2 linked regions of the Saccharomyces cerevisiae S288C genome follow. The main gene of each other region encodes a partner of the protein of the gene in region 2 in a complex. Each region holds a gene or a part of one and is shown on either strand. Other genes may lie near its edges. A codon is read from its position in the direction of its gene.

Region 1 (17,701 bases), on a different chromosome or scaffold from region 2:
AAATCTGCAAAGGGCTGTCCCCATATATTGGTAAAGAAGGTAATGAAGCAGCCTTGACTCTAATGCTTAACGCTTTTTTTGTTCATTATTTTAGTCTGGGCAAACCTATTGAAGACTTGGATAAAATTATATCAGCTGGTTTTGCAGATAAAAAACCTGCTTTGAAAAAATGCTGGTTTGCCGCATTTTTGAACAATTCCAATGCTGCCTCTGAAGAGGTGATTTTAAACTTTATAGACGGTTGTTTGGAATTTGTGAAAGACTCCATCATACATTATCAGACTCACGGGCATGCATGTATTCTAGCATCAATTGAATTTACAAACAAAATTTTGGCATTGGACAATACTGAGCTAAATGATCGTGTTATGCAGCTCATAGAAACCCTTCCTGAAAATTCTTCGATAGGTGATGCTATCTTAACTGCTGCATTATCAACAGAGCTATCCATCGAAAACCGTATTCATGCTGTTAATTTACTACAAGAATTGTTCTACAAGAAACCCGAATTTATTGGGTTTAGCGTGATTGATGCAATTGAAAGGAGAATGCGTGTCCAAGAATTAATACCTCAACAAAATACATCCTTTAAATATGTCACTTCTGTACTACTGGCCATTACGTCTGAGTTACCTGACAAGGAAGCCTCGATAAAGGTATTAATCAATGCTCTGGTCATAGCGCAATGGAATATTTTCAACATTAAGAATGGCTGGGCTGGTTTAGTTTTACGTGCAAGGCTTGATCCAGCTGAAGTTGTCAAAGAACATGCTAGCGTTATCATGGAGAAGATTCTTGAAATCACAGGTAGTTGTGAATGGATAGATACAATTTATGGTGCATGCGGTTTGCAAGCAGCTGCCTATGCAGCATTTATTCAGCCTAATGAGTTCACACCGATCCTTTGTAAGACTATCGAAGCAGATTTAACCGCGGATGATTTCTCACGTTTATCTGAAGAGGACTTCGAAATTTTTGCAGGAGAGGAAGGTGTTCTGGTGGTTGACGTCCTGGAAGAAAGCATGAATAAGAAACTTTCCAATAAAAATTCTAAAGAGTACGAAACTCTAATGTGGGAACAAAAAATAAGGAAGGAGCAAGCCAAAAAGAATGTGAAAAAACTTTCAAAAGAGGAACAAGAGCTCGTTAATGAACAGTTAGCGAAAGAATCTGCAGTTAGATCACACGTTTCGGAAATTTCCACTCGTTTAAAGCGTGGTATTAGATTGGTATCTGAACTTTCCAAAGCTGCTTGCTTAGTCCAAAATGGCATCGCTACTTGGTTCCCCTTGGCAGTCACAAAGCTTTTGTACCTATGCTCGGAACCAAATATTTCAAAGCTAACAGAGGATGTAAATAATGTGTTCTTGCAGCTTTCTCAAAATGTCTCCGAGAGATTAGGTAATATCAGACTTTTCTTAGGTTTGGCGACTTTGCGTGTGCACAATGCTAATGGCATCTCGCAAGATTATTTACAAGAACCACTGGTTGAATTACTTACAAGAGTTCTTTTTAGGATCAAGTTCGTCTCCAACCAAGCAGCAATAGATTCCATCAGTTTGACATATATTTTACCATTGTTGATTAATGTTTTAGAAAAGGGTAAGGCGATTGCATTAAAGAATGCGGACAAGCCTGTTGTTAAGGCTGAGTTTGTTGAAGAAGATGAAGAAGAAGAACATCTGTTACTGGCCATGGAAATTATTTCTGTACACGCTGAAGCTTTTGAGGATCCTTCCATTCCGAGAATTTCCATTGTTGAAGTGTTACTATCTCTTCTATCTTTACCCTCAAAAGCGAAGATTGCTAAAGATTGTTTCAACGCTCTGTGCCAAAGCATATCTGTTGCACCAAATCAAGAAGACCTTGATATGATACTATCAAATTTACTATCACCAAATCAATTTGTCCGTTCAACAATATTAGAAACTCTTGATAACGAATTCGAATTAGAACCTTTTATGAAATATTCACCTGAAGTTTTCATTTGCAGATTTGATTCGGATCCTTCCAACCGCGAGATTGCAGATTTCATTTGGGAGTTCAACAAATTTGTAGTCAACGATGAATTACTAAAAAGCTTATTCCCACTATTCAATCAGGATGATAGTGGCTTGAGATTATTTGCGGCAAACGCGTACGCATTTGGTGCGGTAAGTCTGTTTACCTCTGAAGAGAACTCCTCGAAAGATTACTTAAATGATTTGCTGAACTTTTATAAAGAAAAGGCAAAGCCATTGGAGCCAATTCTTGATCAATTTGGCTTGGTTCTTGTTTCTGCGAGTGAACAAAAAGATCCATGGCAAGGAAGAAGTACCGTTGCTATTACATTAAAAATCATGGCTAAGGCTTTTTCTGCAGAGGATGATACTGTCGTTAACATTATAAAATTTTTGGTCGATGATGGAGGTCTAGTAGACAGAGAGCCTATTGTTCGTCAAGAAATGAAAGAAGCTGGTGTTGAATTAATTACGTTACATGGCTCACAAAACTCGAAGGATTTAATTCCTATATTTGAAGAAGCATTAAGCTCCAGTACGGACAGTGCCTTAAAAGAGAACGTTATTATTTTGTATGGTACATTAGCAAGACATTTACAGCAAAGTGATGCAAGGATTCACACGATCATTGAAAGATTGCTTTCAACTTTGGATACTCCTTCTGCGGATATTCAACAGGCTGTGTCGGCTTGTATAGCACCACTAGTTTTCCAGTTCAAACAAAAAGTTGGTGATTACTTGGGTATCCTAATGGAGAAACTGCTGAATCCAACTGTTGCTTCTTCTATGCGGAAAGGTGCCGCTTGGGGTATCGCTGGTTTAGTGAAAGGTTACGGTATCTCGGCTCTCTCGGAGTTTGACATTATTCGCAACCTCATCGAAGCTGCAGAAGATAAAAAGGAGCCAAAAAGACGTGAATCTGTTGGCTTCTGCTTTCAATATTTGTCTGAATCTCTAGGAAAGTTTTTTGAACCATATGTGATAGAAATTCTTCCAAATATTTTAAAGAATTTAGGGGATGCTGTTCCTGAAGTTAGAGATGCAACCGCTCGTGCCACTAAGGCTATAATGGCGCATACTACAGGTTACGGTGTTAAAAAGTTAATTCCAGTTGCTGTTTCTAATTTGGATGAAATTGCTTGGAGAACTAAGAGGGGCTCTGTTCAATTGTTGGGTAATATGGCTTATTTAGATCCTACTCAATTGTCAGCTTCTTTGTCCACCATTGTCCCAGAAATTGTTGGTGTATTGAACGACTCTCACAAAGAGGTGCGTAAGGCCGCTGATGAATCCTTGAAAAGATTCGGTGAAGTTATCAGAAATCCGGAAATTCAGAAATTGGTGCCCGTACTTTTGCAAGCTATCGGTGATCCAACAAAATACACTGAAGAGGCCTTGGATTCGTTAATTCAAACACAATTTGTCCATTATATTGATGGTCCTTCACTAGCACTAATTATTCATATTATTCATCGTGGTATGCATGATAGATCTGCCAACATTAAGAGGAAAGCATGTAAGATCGTGGGCAATATGGCCATTTTGGTTGATACCAAAGATCTCATCCCATATTTACAACAGCTGATAGATGAAGTGGAGATTGCTATGGTGGATCCAGTTCCAAATACTAGAGCCACAGCAGCACGTGCTTTGGGTGCTTTGGTAGAAAGGTTAGGTGAAGAGCAATTCCCAGATTTGATTCCTCGTCTACTAGATACCTTAAGTGACGAATCAAAATCTGGTGATCGTCTCGGTTCTGCTCAAGCTCTAGCTGAAGTTATTAGTGGCTTGGGCTTGACCAAGTTGGATGAGATGTTACCAACCATTTTAGCTGGTGTAACCAATTTTCGTGCTTATATCAGGGAAGGATTCATGCCTTTGCTGCTTTTCCTTCCTGTTTGTTTTGGATCACAATTTGCTCCATACATTAATCAGATTATTCAGCCTATTCTTTCCGGATTGGCCGATAATGATGAAAATATTCGCGATACTGCTTTGAAGGCTGGTAAATTAATTGTCAAAAACTACGCTACAAAGGCCGTTGATTTGTTGTTGCCTGAATTAGAAAGGGGTATGTTCGATGAAAATGACAGAATTCGCTTATCTTCTGTTCAATTAACCGGAGAACTATTGTTCCAAGTTACTGGTATTTCCTCCAGGAACGAATTTTCTGAGGAAGATGGTGATCATAATGGTGAATTCTCTGGTAAATTGGTCGATGTACTTGGCCAAGACCGTCGTGATAGAATTTTAGCCGCATTATTTGTATGCAGGAACGACACTTCTGGTATCGTACGTGCTACGACGGTTGACATTTGGAAGGCATTGGTTCCAAATACTCCAAGAGCTGTGAAAGAGATCCTTCCAACATTGACTGGTATGATAGTCACTCACTTGGCTTCATCATCCAATGTATTACGCAACATTGCTGCTCAGACCTTAGGTGATCTTGTCCGTCGTGTAGGTGGTAATGCTTTGTCCCAACTGTTACCAAGTTTGGAGGAATCTTTGATAGAAACATCAAACTCAGATTCGAGACAAGGTGTTTGTATTGCTCTTTATGAGTTAATTGAATCGGCTTCTACGGAAACGATATCACAGTTCCAATCTACCATCGTTAACATTATTCGTACGGCATTAATTGATGAGTCGGCTACTGTCAGAGAAGCGGCTGCATTATCTTTTGATGTATTCCAAGATGTTGTAGGAAAAACTGCTGTTGATGAAGTTTTACCATATTTGTTGCATATGCTTGAATCTTCTGATAATTCTGACTTTGCTTTGTTAGGTTTACAAGAAATTATGTCGAAGAAGTCCGACGTAATCTTCCCAATTTTAATTCCAACCCTATTAGCCCCTCCAATAGACGCCTTCAGGGCTTCTGCTTTAGGTTCTTTGGCGGAAGTTGCTGGCTCAGCCTTATACAAGCGTTTATCAATTATAATCAACGCACTAGTGGATGCAATCATAGGTACTTCTGAAGATGAATCGACCAAGGGTGCATTAGAACTTGCATTAGACAGGGTATTCTTATCTGTGAATGATGACGAAGGTCTTCACCCATTACTTCAACAGATTATGTCACTACTAAAGAGTGATAATATAGAGAAACGCATAGCTGTTTTAGAACGTTTGCCAAATTTCTTCGATAAGACTGTTCTTGATTTTGATGTCTATATTCCGAACTTTGTCTCTCACGCAATTTTATCATTAGATGATGAAGATCAAAGGGTTGTTAATGGTAACTTCAATGCTTTGTCTACTTTGTTGAAGAAGGTTGATAAGCCCACCTTAGAAAAATTAGTTAAGCCTGCTAAACAGTCATTGGCATTAACAGGCAGGCAAGGTCAAGATGTCGCTGCATTTAAGCTTCCAAGAGGCCCTAACTGTGTTTTGCCTATTTTCTTGCATGGTTTGATGTATGGTTCGAATGATGAAAGGGAAGAATCTGCATTAGCCATTGCTGACGTTGTTTCGAAGACCCCTGCCGCTAACTTGAAGCCATTTGTGAGCGTAATTACTGGTCCATTAATTCGTGTCGTGGGTGAAAGATTTAGTAGTGATATCAAAGCAGCAATTTTATTTGCACTTAATGTGCTATTCATTAAGATTCCAATGTTCTTGAGGCCTTTTATCCCTCAATTACAAAGAACATTTGTTAAATCCTTGTCTGACGCTACCAATGAAACGTTACGTCTCCGCGCCGCAAAGGCTCTTGGTGCCCTGATTGAACATCAGCCTCGTGTTGACCCTCTAGTCATTGAACTGGTGACAGGTGCCAAGCAAGCCACAGATGAAGGTGTCAAGACTGCGATGCTTAAAGCTTTACTGGAAGTTATTATGAAGGCTGGTTCCAAATTAAACGAAAATTCTAAGACAAACATTGTCAATTTAGTTGAGGAAGAAATGTTGGGTAGCAATGACAAATTGGCAGTTGCTTACGCTAAATTAATCGGATCGTTATCAGAGATTTTGTCGAACGACGAAGCCCACAAGATATTGCAAGACAAGGTTTTGAATGCAGATCTAGATGGAGAAACCGGTAAGTTTGCTATTCTGACTTTGAATTCCTTTTTGAAAGATGCACCAACACATATATTCAATACGGGCTTGATAGACGAATTTGTAAGTTACATTTTGAATGCAATCCGTTCCCCTGATGTTTACTTCGGAGAAAATGGTACCATTGCTGCTGGTAAATTACTTTTATTAGAAGGAGAAAAGAGGTCTCCATTTGTTAAAAAGGATGCTGCAGAACCATTCAAAATTGGCGATGAAAACATCAATCTGTTAATTAATGAGTTGAGCAAAGCTGTCTTACAACCAGCCAGTAATTCTACGGATGTAAGAAGGTTGGCCTTGGTGGTTATAAGAACACTAGCCAGATTCAAATTTGACGAGTGCATTAAGCAATACTTCGATGTAGTAGGACCATCTGTATTTTCTTGCTTGCGTGATCCTGTTATCCCAATTAAGCTCGCAGCAGAAAAAGCATATTTAGCTTTGTTCAAATTGGTTGAAGAAGATGACATGCATACTTTCAACGAGTGGTTTGCTAAAATTTCAGATCGCGGTAACAGCATCGAAACTGTCACAGGTACTACAATTCAATTACGGTCTGTTGGGGACTATACCAAGAGGGTTGGTAAAAGGTTAGCAAATGTCGAAAGAGAAAGGATTGCTGCCGGAGGAGACGCGGAAACAATGTTTAGTGACAGATTTGAAGATGAAAGAGAAATATGGGCTGTCGGAGGTGTTGAATTAACCACTGATATTTGAAGAAAATTCAATGTGGTAACCTCGTTACTTTTTGTATTTGATATATTATTCTCGTTATATAATACATACCACATAATGATATAAAAGACAAAGATATTTTGAAGTCTTCCGCTGTGCATAAGGGTTATTTATATATCTATTGCTCCCAGCATTGTAGCTAATAAGGGCTTGATAATTATTCGTACCCGGATTCATAATTGTCAACTAACTGCCAAACCCAGCGCTCTAATAGTGGCGAGACTTGCCACCACATCATATCGTTACGATCTGTATTGGCGATTCCTAAACACCAAATAACTGTCGACTTTAAATAGCGTCTCAGAAATAACTTATAAGAGAGGTTTATTATTAGAACTATCAATAAAATTAGAGCAATAATTTTAAACGGTTTGATACAAGTTATCTCTTTATTAGACATAATTGTCCAGATGTATTACATGAACTGAGTGACTTGCTCTAATGTTGTAGACACTGATGTCCGGTTTAATTAAGAAAGATTTTGGAAGTTTCACGATATCGATAATGCTGCGGGAGAAGCTTTCAAATTATAAGAAAAGGCTTTTTTTTGTTGTTTTCAGAGTAGTTTGGTGACTTGTCCGTTTCAGAAGTGTCTCGAATACGGAGTGCACCTTCCAAAAATGTTTCTGACGGCATCGAAGAGCCGAACTCTTATACAATACATGTCATTTTTAACAATGATGCAAATAACTTTTAAGGCCTTAACACTCTACATAATATGCTAAAAACATTAAAAAAAAAAAAAGGAAAATAAAAAAAAAAAAAAAAAAAAAAACGGGAGATTAACCGAATAGCAAACTCTTAAACTATGAAAAGGCAATCAATCCACTGTTTTCTTTTTCCATTTCTTCTAGCCTATTTGAACTGTCTGCTTCTGTTTCTTCATTCATTTCTTGAATGATTTTATCCTCTTCTTCTGTCAGGGCACTTATATCTTGTGTCGGTATGCATTCAGCATCCATTCTGACACTTGGTGCTCCTTGCAAGTATCTGATATTTTCTAGACATCGTATTCTAATGTCTTCCAGTAGTTTTTTACTGTTTTTGTTTTCGTATAAGTCATCTAACATAGGATAAAGTGAATAATCCGGCCCGAATGAGTCCCGGAATGGGATATCTTCGGGGATGTCTTCTGGTAGCAAGACATCATTTAAAATTCCTGTCTCGTAGGTCCAAAGCCGTGATACATTTCTAGGTGTATAACCTCCACCGCCCACTACTAGCATTGGTAGACCAAATGATTTGACAAATTTTACGCATTCTCCATGTGCCTTTATATTTAAATTGAAGCATCCTAAGCGATCATGACCTAAGGAATCCGCACCGCATTGTTGGACAATAAGTGTTGGTTTGAAAGTCATTATTAGAGGATCTACAATTGACTTGAAAAGGTTTATATATGAGTCGTCATCTATGCCATCTTCTAGGGGTACATTTAATGCGAAATGTTTTCCTTTGTCGCAACCAATTTCTGTCAGATCACCAGTTCCTGGGAAAAATTCGCCATTATATTTATGAAAAGACAACGTGAAGACCCTATCTGTGGTGTAAAATGCCTCCTGGACACCATCGCCGTGATGTAAGTCGATATCGATATAAAGGATTCTTGGGTGATATCGTAATAAGTTCAAAATAGAAAGCACAATATCATTTACATAGCAAAACCCAGATGGACTATTCTTTTTTGCATGATGAAGACCACCAGACCAATTTATCGCTATGTCCGATTGATTGTTGATTAGTTTCCTGGTGGCGTCAAGGCTCGCACCAGTGTATAGTGTTGTATAATCATATAAATTTTGAAAAATAGGACAGTCGTCTCCAATGTTAAAATTTTCAAGTGTGCCTCTGGGCAGTTTGTTTGCATTTTCTGGTGAAACCTTCGAGAGAAAATTCACGTAGTCTTCCGAGTGAAATTGTAGTAATTCGTCTCTGGTAGCGCTTCTTGTTTCATAAAGGTCCATAATCTTGTGCAATCCATAAGAGGAAACTAGGTGATCCGTTAGCATTAACCGAAACGGCTTCATTGGATGCTTAACACCATAATGGTAATGTGAAACTTTGGAGTTAAAATGATACGATACCCTGGGAGAATAAGCAGAATTAAACTCAAATAATGGTTCGTTCTCCTTTGTTTTCACATCATAACTAAATGTTCCAGACATGTTGCGTGTTGTTATTCACTTGATACCTGATTTTAACGTACTTGAGTAATCTGGCGTCTTTTCTATAACTGTACATTGGCGACACACCTAAAACTGATTAGAATCGTTTCAAGATGCTTTCAGTTCAACATTTAGTAACATAGTAGGAATATCACGTTTAACGATGCCCCAAAGAACATCGAGAATCCTCTATATAGAGTATAAACAGGGCATTCTACATTGGTATAGAGGTGCCTTAGGTATATAGTGGTACCGGTCACATAAATTGACGGGAATATGCGTCTTTAGGCGGCTTTTGGCGTACAGTATTGTTCTTTCTTTCGTGCTTGTGAAACTTGTTATAAACAAAGAAAGAGAAAGATCTCCCCGGCATTCTGGAAGATCGGTAACCGCTGGAGCTATAGGAAAGGGAGATGGATAACAGTAAAGAAAACGGACCATATAAGTTAGCATTGGGGGTTTTCGAAAAAAATAAGAATTGGCATTCAGACTTGAATTCATAAAAGTTGTAAGCAGGCTATGATTAACGATAAACTAGTACATTTTCTGATCCAGAATTATGATGACATCCTAAGAGCACCGCTTTCTGGACAGCTCAAAGATGTGTATTCACTGTACATCAGTGGCGGATACGATGATGAGATGCAGAAGTTGAGAAACGATAAAGACGAGGTCTTACAGTTTGAACAGTTTTGGAATGATCTTCAGGATATTATATTTGCAACGCCGCAGTCCATTCAATTTGACCAGAATCTATTAGTGGCAGATAGGCCAGAAAAAATTGTTTACCTGGACGTTTTTTCCTTGAAAATTCTCTATAACAAGTTCCATGCCTTCTACTATACATTAAAATCGTCCAGTTCTTCATGTGAAGAAAAAGTGTCGAGTTTAACAACAAAACCGGAAGCTGATTCGGAAAAAGACCAACTGCTGGGTAGACTGCTTGGAGTCCTGAACTGGGACGTTAACGTCAGCAACCAGGGGTTACCACGTGAACAACTGAGCAATCGCTTACAAAATTTATTGAGGGAAAAACCATCATCTTTTCAGCTTGCTAAAGAAAGAGCCAAATACACGACCGAGGTCATTGAATACATCCCGATATGTAGTGACTATTCGCATGCATCTCTATTGTCCACCTCGGTGTACATTGTCAATAACAAAATCGTTTCTTTACAATGGTCCAAAATATCCGCATGTCAGGAAAATCACCCAGGATTAATTGAGTGCATTCAATCAAAAATTCACTTTATCCCTAATATCAAACCACAAACTGATATTTCGTTAGGAGATTGTTCCTATTTGGATACCTGTCATAAATTAAATACGTGTCGATACATTCATTACCTGCAATATATTCCGTCATGCTTGCAAGAGCGAGCTGATCGTGAAACTGCGAGTGAAAATAAAAGAATACGGTCAAACGTTTCCATTCCATTTTATACTCTGGGCAATTGCTCCGCACATTGTATCAAAAAGGCTTTACCTGCACAGTGGATCCGTTGCGATGTGCGGAAATTTGATTTTAGGGTTCTTGGAAAGTTTTCGGTAGTTATTGCAGATCCTGCATGGAATATCCATATGAACCTACCATACGGTACTTGCAACGATATTGAACTATTAGGTTTGCCTTTGCACGAACTACAAGATGAAGGTATTATTTTTCTTTGGGTGACGGGTAGAGCTATAGAATTGGGTAAAGAGTCTTTGAATAACTGGGGTTACAACGTGATAAATGAAGTTTCATGGATAAAGACAAACCAACTGGGTAGAACAATTGTTACAGGTCGTACGGGTCATTGGTTAAATCATTCTAAGGAGCATTTATTGGTGGGCTTAAAGGGTAATCCAAAGTGGATCAACAAACATATTGACGTCGATTTGATCGTATCAATGACCAGAGAGACTAGTAGAAAGCCTGATGAACTGTATGGTATAGCAGAACGGTTGGCAGGCACCCATGCCAGAAAACTAGAGATATTCGGAAGGGATCACAATACGCGGCCTGGCTGGTTTACCATCGGAAACCAGTTGACAGGAAATTGCATTTACGAAATGGATGTCGAGAGGAAGTACCAGGAGTTTATGAAGAGCAAAACTGGAACCAGCCACACTGGTACTAAAAAAATCGACAAAAAGCAACCTTCAAAATTACAGCAGCAGCATCAGCAGCAGTATTGGAATAATATGGATATGGGGAGTGGTAAGTATTATGCTGAGGCCAAGCAGAATCCTATGAATCAAAAACATACTCCCTTTGAATCCAAACAGCAACAAAAACAACAATTCCAAACACTAAATAACCTATATTTTGCTCAGTAAAGCGTTAAATAATCCTTTTAAACATTAATAGCATTGCATAAAAAAGATGGTCATAAAAAAGACTGCAGCGGGAAGTAAATGGTTTCCTGGTCTGTATTAGACAAACTTTGGAATAGAGAAGGATATGGTTTATGTCCAATAATTATTATCCGAGTCCGTGTATTTTTTTACATCAACTGGAACAATTTATTACCCGGATGTTTAAAAATTGTTGTCGCCTGGAGAAAGCTAATACTAGTTCTGGCCATATTTTCAACCATTAAACACTACTAATGTAATTACTTGACTTATTTGCTCCCACTCTTGGTCGGTTCTTTCCCATGGCGCATTCTACCATTCTTTTTTTCTACTCCAATCGTTCTTACTGGAAACTGTGGGAATAGCGAAGAACGACTATTATTTGCTAATACAGAGTAAGCTATCCTGCTGAATAGGTAGACGATAGTAGTAACCCAACGCCGCTATCCTTTCGATTATACCGCTATGAATGTAGTGATATGGTGCGGTATTGACACAATATAGTAATTTCGGGTAATTTTTTTTCCCACCAATGAGAGGCGGTACTGGGAGTATCGGTCTAAGAGAATCGAAAAATAACCCCCAGCTGGGATGTGATCACGATGAGTGACGGGATACATTAAATATAACAAACATACACGTTGCCTTGAACGTTTTCACTACACATCGCATGTGTTTTATCTAGATTTAAAATCATATTACTACAGTTCTACAGTTATACAAATAACAAACAATAGAAAAATGTTTAGACAGTGTGCTAAGAGATATGCATCTTCATTACCCCCAAATGCTTTGAAACCTGCATTTGGCCCACCAGATAAAGTGGCAGCTCAAAAATTTAAAGAATCATTAATGGCCACTGAAAAGCATGCGAAGGACACATCTAATATGTGGGTTAAAATCTCAGTTTGGGTCGCCCTACCAGCAATTGCTTTAACAGCTGTGAACACATACTTTGTTGAAAAGGAGCATGCTGAGCATCGTGAACATTTGAAACATGTGCCAGACTCCGAATGGCCAAGGGATTACGAGTTTATGAATATCAGGTCTAAGCCTTTTTTCTGGGGTGACGGTGATAAGACATTATTCTGGAATCCTGTTGTCAACAGGCACATCGAGCACGACGATTAATTAATTGATTAAGTGAGAATAAACTTTTCGAAAAATTTTTATTTATGATAATTTTACTAATTCTTACTTATTTCTTTTATATTCGATAAAAAAAATTCAAAATAAAAAAAGATTAATCCTTTGATAGGAACTAAAGGTACTAGGTATTTTGGGCGGCGAAGCATCATTCCGTTCTTAAACATCTATATATATATAATTATATTGCAAATGTATAAGCATTTAAAAACATAAACATGCACCTATGAAGAAGAATTTAAGACGTTTTATTTTTATGTTCCACGCGTTTTGGTGAAGTGATGAAAGAAGTCCTGATAAAGGGATGTCGGATTAATAATTGATACAGTGTTTATAAGATAGCTAATCAGAAAAAAAACGAAAGAAAATGGTATAAGTCTCAGAATAATGATAATAAAACACGCTTGAAGTAGAATAAAAATATAAGTAGAGAAGATAAAATAAAAAAATAAAGATAGAAAGATTTTCAATGAGGGGCAAATCTAAATCTAAAAAATTTGAATTCAAGTTCAATTTAAATTTCAATTAAAACAGTAGTAGTATGTGGGGAAGATATGGGATAAAAAAAAGTAAGGGAAAATAAGGAATTATTATAATTATAATGCGGAAAAAATGAATAAATTATTAGTTGCTGCAACAGCAATACTATTTTCTCTTGGATGCCATGAGAAATGTAAAATATTCTTCTTGAAATCAATATCGTCACCCCAATCCTTATTTCTTGCAGACCTTTGCGCTAGCGAACCGTATCTTTTGTTCCTGAACGCTGTTTTGTCAGCTTGTAACACGATTTCATTCATTTCGGTTCCCGAGTCCTCCGAATTTGCTCCTTCTCCTCCCGCTATACTGCTTCTAGAGCTATTACTACTTCCCACCATGCCTGTGTTGCGTCCGTTACTCCTACGCTTGTGGCTGTTGCCACTACTACTAGAATCTTTATTTTGTATGCTGTTGTGGATATTTTTATTGCTGTTGCTATTAGGTGCGTTGTGTTCATCAAAAGTTTTGACTATGCCATTATCATTATCACCAGAAGTTACTACATTAGGATAGATCATGAAATTGTTATTGTAAGAACCAGTCATTACACTTGAACTATCACCACTAAAATTAACTTCAAATTTATCGAAAATCGCATCGTTTTCATAGGTATCACTCAATCTTTCCTTCAATTGCTCATGTATGTTTATGGTTTTCAAAGGCTTATTATCCATATTTACGTCCCAAATTTTGACAGTTAAATAATCTCTGGATGCAATATACCTACCATTTGGACTAAATTTTATGTCGGAAATTGACGACGTGATTTCTGTAAAAAAATTATGATTGATTGGATCCAAATATTCTTCAAATGTTTTGGTTTTATTGTCACATAGGGAATTTTGTCTCATATCACACAACTTTATTGTACCTTTGGAAGAAGAGTACATGAATAAATTACATTCTTGCGGATGAAATTCAGCGCTTGTGATCACTTCGGTAAGTTCTTCCATATTGGTTGGCTTGATATCTACGATGTTGAAGCTCTGATCTGGTATGTCCAGATTCCATAAATTGATTCTCAAGTCGTCAGCACTTAAAAATGTTTCCTGATCAGAATTCAACGATATCGAATTAATGTGATAGGTATGTGCATTACTATATATACGCTTTGGGGTGGCAGCAATGATTTTGTCATGCTGTGATAATTGAGGCAGTTTCAGCGATTGTAAAGATAATACAGCCCTCACGGAGCCTCCTCTACTGTTATGGTTATCGGGCTTGCCTTTTTTCGCAAACGTAACCCCTTCTGTTAAGTTGTTCTGGCTTACCAATTTTATATTTTTCTCATAAACTTTCCAAAGTTTTATAGTTTTATCATTTGTGCTCAAAAGAAAGTGTGATCTTTGAGTTGGTCGTAACCATTTGATTTCATTTATCTTCTCTTCAATTTCTAAGGATTTTAAATAATCAAATTCTGCGTCATGACTTTGAAACTCTGTTAAAAACTTATATTCGCAATGTCTACTATTACTTCTTTCAAAAAGTACCACACGGCCACCTTTATCACCAGTGGCCAGATAATTTCCAGTATAGTCAAATTCTACAGCTGTAATTAGATCCGCCTCTGTCACCACAATATCTGCTTTATCACCAAAACATTGGCTGAATTTAAAATCAAAATTGTTTTGTGCCATTGTGCGCTATATTATATTTCTTTATGCGTAAGATCTCTCCAGTTTGACCTCGATATGTTGGCTAGATTTTATGAGGTTTACAGTTTATAGAAACACTAGTTTTCCCTTTCTTAATATGTTGGTGGAGTGGGGGTAATCGTATTAAGCTGCCTTATTCACCCTCTGATAGGAATAAAAATCGAAACAGGACGAAAAAAGGGTGAACTAAAATATAGAAGAGAGCCTAATTGACGTAATCGAATTCTTCTAGAATGCGTTTGTATATTCAATTTTCAATTCTTCCAGTCTCTTCGTGGAAAGTTCTCTAACGTAATAGTCTTGTCTTGTGCAAACTCCCTTTATCTTTGACGGGAAATGTTAGGCAAAATTGGATGGAAAAGAGAAAAAAGGAAGGAAAAAAACAAAAAAAATCTACTTAGTTAAGGATCTATTGACGTGCGCGGGGGGAGTATATGCCAATTGTCTCAAAAAAAAAACGTTTATGCCGTGCCGGAATAGAAATAGTTACTGGTCGTTTTCCTATCTGATATAAATCTGAGTAAAACGATTATTGTCTAACCCAATGCAATATATACAGATAGCATTCCGCTCATAGTTAATAATTAACTTCAGACAGTTTTTTTCAATATCTCATTAAAGGGAAGAAAGGGAGGCGAAAAAAAAATCAAAAAAATTATACTTCGTATCAAATTATATTCGTGGAAGGTGACGATAGTAATATTTGATGTTGAACATACTTGAAACATTAACATATTTAATAGAAAACTATTGTAATGGTTATTTTTTATTGATTAGAAATAGTAGAAAAATTTACTTATGTTTCACCTATATTAATCAAGTTATAAAGCCTTCTTGGCGGCATCAGCAGGGGAAACCTTGTTTTCTCTGTTGAATCTTGGTCTTTGAGGTGGAGCTCTGTTCTTTCTGTCTTCTCTGGATCTGACTCTGACAATTCTGGCGTGAATAGCACAAGAAACACAGTAGTGTAACTTGTTGTAAGTCTTTGGCAAAGCGTATTCAGGGTAGACAGAAGCTTCGGACAAATCTCTGACGGCAGCGGCTTCAACAATGTTTCTGATAGCCATTCTCTTGATAGCCTTATCCTTTGGAATAGACTTGGAACAGTTGACACATCTGACTGGTTTGACGTGACCTCTACCTTTCTTGTTTCTACCGTTGGAAGCTCTCTTCTTTGGCATTTTGAATGATCTAATTAAATATTCATCACGAGTATTGCAGGTTTGCAAAGAGTTAAAATAATTAGTTAGTAACTTCTCAATTTTTTTAAAATGATCGTGGCAAAAAGGGAAGGAGATATTTACGTAACATTTGAAATTTTCTCGGTACAATATTCTTCAATAATAAGTACATTGCATACGATGGGCGACTTCCTTCTTTTTCTTTAGTTAGTGTGAACTCATGATTGGCACACTTCTAGTGATTAACTGGTTTCCTTTCAGAAAACAAGTTACATTTGCCATGTTTTAATAATATCTTGTCACTATTACTTTCTCCCAATTCAAAGATCTCATCGTTCTTCCCTTCTCTACTTTCACACTTTTGTGTCGTTAACATACTACTTAAGACTATGGTTCTTTTATCTGTAATAGCGAACAAATTAAATCATTTACTATAACGAACATTAAATCTAGTAGGTATTTCAAATACCAAGTAATCCCTCAACACTCAATGAGAACGAAGCGGTGTAAGCTGACACTTCGAGTTCCGCCTATGTTACTGGATATGAGCCCTCCCCCCACGAAGGTTTTTTCCTTCCAGAGCCGAGAACATCTCCCAAGGAGAACGAAGCAATACCGGTAAGCTGCTTACCGTCGGGGCAGGGAAGTTCAATTCAACTCCCTGTGCCGAGAATTTACTTTTTTCGAAAAATCGACGTCTTTAAAAAAAGAAATCAGTATGTATGGGTGGGTGTATGGATGCTGTAAGCACAGTCTAGAATCTTTTGGAAGTAACTTCGCAACAACCTCTAGCTAGCCATCTCTGACAGAGATAGAAATAGTAATCAGTTATGACATGAATAGTACTAATATTAATAAGAATTTTTAAATAAAAATATATCTCGACCTTTTCTCGATCTTTTTGGTTATGTATTTTTTGGCTCTTCATTATAGATAGAGCAAAGCGTTCGCCTTAACCTTCCTGCAAAGAACTTTCTTGTGGAACTTTGTTAACATGACGTGTGTAAAAGCTCAGACCTGGTAAGAATATTCGCTAGGTTTCCAAAAAAAAAAATATAAATAAAGAAGAAGGTAAAAAGTAAAAGAGAAACAGAAGGGCAACTTGAATGATAAGATTAGTGATGGTGGTCATCATTTGGAACACCAACAGGGTTTAGTTTGTAAACAGAACCACATTCCCAGCATCTGGCGACTTCGTTAACAGTTGGTTTTAACCACATAATAGTATGTGAACCAGCGGGAGAACCCGTACAACCGACATAACGATAATCATCATAAGATTCAATGATGATCGGATCTTTCATGGTACCCTTCCTGGACGAATCTAATGGTTTGGTGTCGAAAACATCGATACCCTCTAATTTACCCAATAATTCTAACCTAGCTAAACCAGTTTCTTGATCTAGGTCTGTTGGAACGGTACCCTCTTTAGCACCAGGACCAATCAAAGTTTCTGGACCATTAACTTCTGCTAAGTTTTGGGCAGTTTTCACCACGGGTTTTTGCTGAAGCAGATATCTAGAGCTACACAAAGTTCTTGTGGCTGGCTTGAAAAATCTTATAGATTGACGTAGTGAAAGCATTGTGCTTGTTATCTATTTGTATGGCAACATCAAAATCGAAATGGGTGAGTATTGTTAGTATACTGTTTCTTCAGGGAGAAGAATACGTTGACTAAAGGAAAGTGACAGGGAATATTTCGCATCGAATTCTTCATTATATGATGGACAATTTGGACAATTATGCAATTATCGTCTCAAGCCAAATAGAAAAGCAGGGAACGAGTTAAACTTGCAAATAAATTTTTTCTTAAAGTCAAATCCAGATTTGTTTTCTCTTAGTTCTTTTCCGTTTCGTTCGATCTGTTAAATATCTTC
Region 2 (2,639 bases):
AATGACAATTATAATAATAACGAATTTGATGATAATACACAGTTAAGATATACCTCTAGAGGGTTGTATAGATAGACACAAATTTTGACAATCACAAAGAAGAAAAAAGAAACTATTTACATATTTAAACATCTACCTCATGATTATTTATGTACGAAAATTTATAATTTAGTATAATTTAGTATTTTTTGCTTCTTATACTTAGCTTTAACTTAGCTGAACGATTAGACCTTAGCAAACACAAAATATAAAAATATGAAACATAAAAAATACACATGTTGAAGAAAAGTAAAAATCTTCACGTAGCGATGCATTGCCCACCTTTTAAATCTATATTGAAGATCTCCTCTAGAAGTCCAATGTTTAATACGTAACTTTCTTGATATATATTACATATTTTGGATAACTCCACCGAGATTTATCTAATTTTGTTGCTATTTCTTACTGGAAGTGCAAAAAAGCAGCGCACTATCAATTATAATATACAGATTTTGAAGATACTAGTGCTTTCTTCTTCCTTTTGGTTGAACCAATTCAAAACCGTCTTCGTCAACAATTGGTTCAGGTTTAGACGATACTAAGTCAGGTACAACCTCGTCCATCTCTTCATCTTCATCTTCGTCATCATAGTCCTCTACATCTTCATCGTCTTCATCATCATCACCCTCAATATGCACAACTCTTTTTGATTTTTTAGTTCTCTGCTTTTCTTGCCATTCCAAATACAATTTTTCTACCTTATTATAATTTAAATTGAAACAGTCGTTATATATGTTGATGACCTCCACGGCAATCGGTAAAGCCGAGTCGTCTTCAACATTAGTTTCAAATTCATCTATCATTGCATAAAGTAACGTTTCTTCGATTAAAGCGGCGTCAACAACTTTTTCATTTTTGAAAAGGTCTACTACAATCCCTGTAATCCAGTCTCTCTTCTCAGCTGAGTCTGGACCACCCCAACTGTTTTCTACGGCAACATCCAACGCATCCCACTTATAAATAACCATGGAAACACCGAGCTCAAAACGTGCCTGTTGCTTTTCGTCAGAGAACATTAGATTGGTTTTACCTTGCTCAGCCTGAACAAATGCTGTCTCATCAATATATTGTGTGCTCATTGTTCCGTAAGGATTATCACTATAAAAATTTTTCGCAGATTTCTTTGGACTCCACCTTTCTTCCTGTTGCAATAAATACAAACTGTTTGAATCATTTTGATATTCATCTATATCTATTTCAAAATTTTTCATGTCATCGCCTCTTGAAACATGAATTTTCCAATTCTGAAAAAGAACGTACTACTGGGAAACAAAAGGGAAAAATGTATAAATCCTTTAATGTTTTTGAATCAAGAGGCATTATTATAAAAGAACGAAGCAAAGCCTTTAATATTTGCTTTATTAAAGGTATTATTCAAAGAAAAGTTTTTTTAGATTCTTTTTTTTTTGACGTATTAGCTCAGCTGCCATAAAACACTCTCAACGCCAATGTCGAAAGACTTGAATTCTTCACGCATCAAAATCATTAAACCTAATGACTCTTACATAAAGGTTGACCGGAAAAAAGATTTAACAAAATACGAATTAGAAAACGGTAAAGTAATTTCTACTAAGGACCGACCTATCGCTTCTGTACCTGCCATAACAGGAAAGATACCAAGTGATGAGGAAGTATTCGACTCCAAGACGGGATTACCTAATCATTCCTTTTTAAGAGAGCATTTCTTTCATGAGGGTCGACTTTCTAAGGAACAGGCCATAAAAATCTTAAATATGTCAACTGTAGCATTGAGTAAAGAACCCAATCTACTAAAACTCAAAGCGCCAATTACTATATGTGGTGATATTCACGGGCAGTATTATGATTTATTGAAACTGTTTGAAGTTGGCGGTGACCCCGCCGAAATCGACTATTTATTCTTGGGGGATTATGTTGATAGAGGTGCATTCTCTTTTGAGTGTCTGATTTATTTGTACTCCTTGAAGTTGAATAATTTAGGGAGATTTTGGATGCTAAGAGGTAACCATGAGTGTAAGCACTTGACCTCTTATTTTACTTTTAAGAATGAGATGTTGCACAAATACGATATGGAAGTTTACGATGCTTGCTGCAGATCATTCAATGTCTTACCATTAGCAGCTTTAATGAACGGACAATATTTTTGTGTGCATGGTGGTATCTCTCCAGAGTTAAAATCAGTAGAGGATGTTAATAAAATTAATAGATTTCGAGAAATCCCATCTCGTGGTCTCATGTGTGACCTACTATGGGCCGATCCTGTCGAAAATTATGATGATGCAAGAGATGGTAGCGAATTTGATCAGAGCGAGGATGAATTCGTACCTAACAGTTTGAGGGGTTGCTCTTTCGCCTTCACTTTTAAAGCATCATGCAAGTTTTTGAAGGCAAATGGTTTGTTATCTATTATTAGAGCACACGAAGCACAGGATGCTGGGTACAGAATGTATAAAAACAATAAAGTAACAGGCTTCCCGAGCTTAATAACCATGTTCAGTGCGCCAAACTACCTGGACACATATCATAATAAAGCTGCTGTGTTAAAATATGAAGAAAACGTCATGAACATCAGGCAGTTTCACATGTCTCCGCACCCTTACTGGTTGCCTGATTTTATGGAT

Evidence for each region.
Region 1: the proteins of TSR2 (region 2) and RPS26A are in contact, whole or in part, in an NMR structure (PDB 6G04), measured with the Saccharomyces cerevisiae proteins. Residues at the interface, in NP_013539.4 of Saccharomyces cerevisiae: Ala30 (codon at 1,031), Arg31 (codon at 1,028), Glu33 (codon at 1,022), Leu34 (codon at 1,019), Ser37 (codon at 1,010), Met38 (codon at 1,007), Tyr41 (codon at 998), Asp58 (codon at 947), Glu61 (codon at 938), Lys62 (codon at 935), Asp64 (codon at 929), Trp65 (codon at 926), Thr67 (codon at 920), Gly68 (codon at 917), Ile69 (codon at 914), Asp72 (codon at 905), Leu84 (codon at 869), Glu87 (codon at 860), Thr88 (codon at 857), Tyr91 (codon at 848), Asp95 (codon at 836), Glu96 (codon at 833), Glu129 (codon at 734), Tyr132 (codon at 725), Trp135 (codon at 716); in NP_011326.1 of Saccharomyces cerevisiae: Arg100 (codon at 15,527), Pro101 (codon at 15,524), Arg102 (codon at 15,521), Phe103 (codon at 15,518), Asn104 (codon at 15,515), Arg105 (codon at 15,512), Asn107 (codon at 15,506), Lys108 (codon at 15,503), Val109 (codon at 15,500), Ser110 (codon at 15,497), Pro111 (codon at 15,494), Ala112 (codon at 15,491), Ala114 (codon at 15,485), Ala115 (codon at 15,482), Lys117 (codon at 15,476), Ala118 (codon at 15,473), Leu119 (codon at 15,470).

Annotation. Positions count from the first base shown.
Region 1 is NC_001139.9:132,765-150,465, forward strand, and holds RPS26A (40S ribosomal protein eS26 RPS26A), read right to left. Parts: upstream 15,825-17,701; coding exon 15,465-15,824; downstream 1-15,464. Other genes in the region: GCN1 (Gcn1p), read left to right, coding at 1-6,779; YGL194C-A (uncharacterized protein), read right to left, coding at 6,955-7,197; histone deacetylase HOS2, read right to left, coding at 7,604-8,962; YGL193C (uncharacterized protein), read right to left, coding at 9,152-9,463; IME4 (mRNA (N6-adenosine)-methyltransferase), read left to right, coding at 9,482-11,284; COX13 (cytochrome c oxidase subunit VIa), read left to right, coding at 12,044-12,433; protein phosphatase 2A regulatory subunit CDC55, read right to left, coding at 13,045-14,625; YGL188C-A (uncharacterized protein), read right to left, coding at 16,060-16,200; COX4 (cytochrome c oxidase subunit IV), read right to left, coding at 16,940-17,407. UniProt on the Saccharomyces cerevisiae protein: Component of the ribosome, a large ribonucleoprotein complex responsible for the synthesis of proteins in the cell.
Region 2 is NC_001144.5:1,004,857-1,007,495, reverse strand, and holds TSR2 (Tsr2p), read right to left. Parts: upstream 1,119-2,639; coding exon 501-1,118; downstream 1-500. Other genes in the region: ECM30 (Ecm30p), read left to right, coding at 1-75; CNA1 (calcineurin catalytic subunit A), read left to right, coding at 1,488-2,639. UniProt on the Saccharomyces cerevisiae protein: Required for 20S pre-rRNA processing.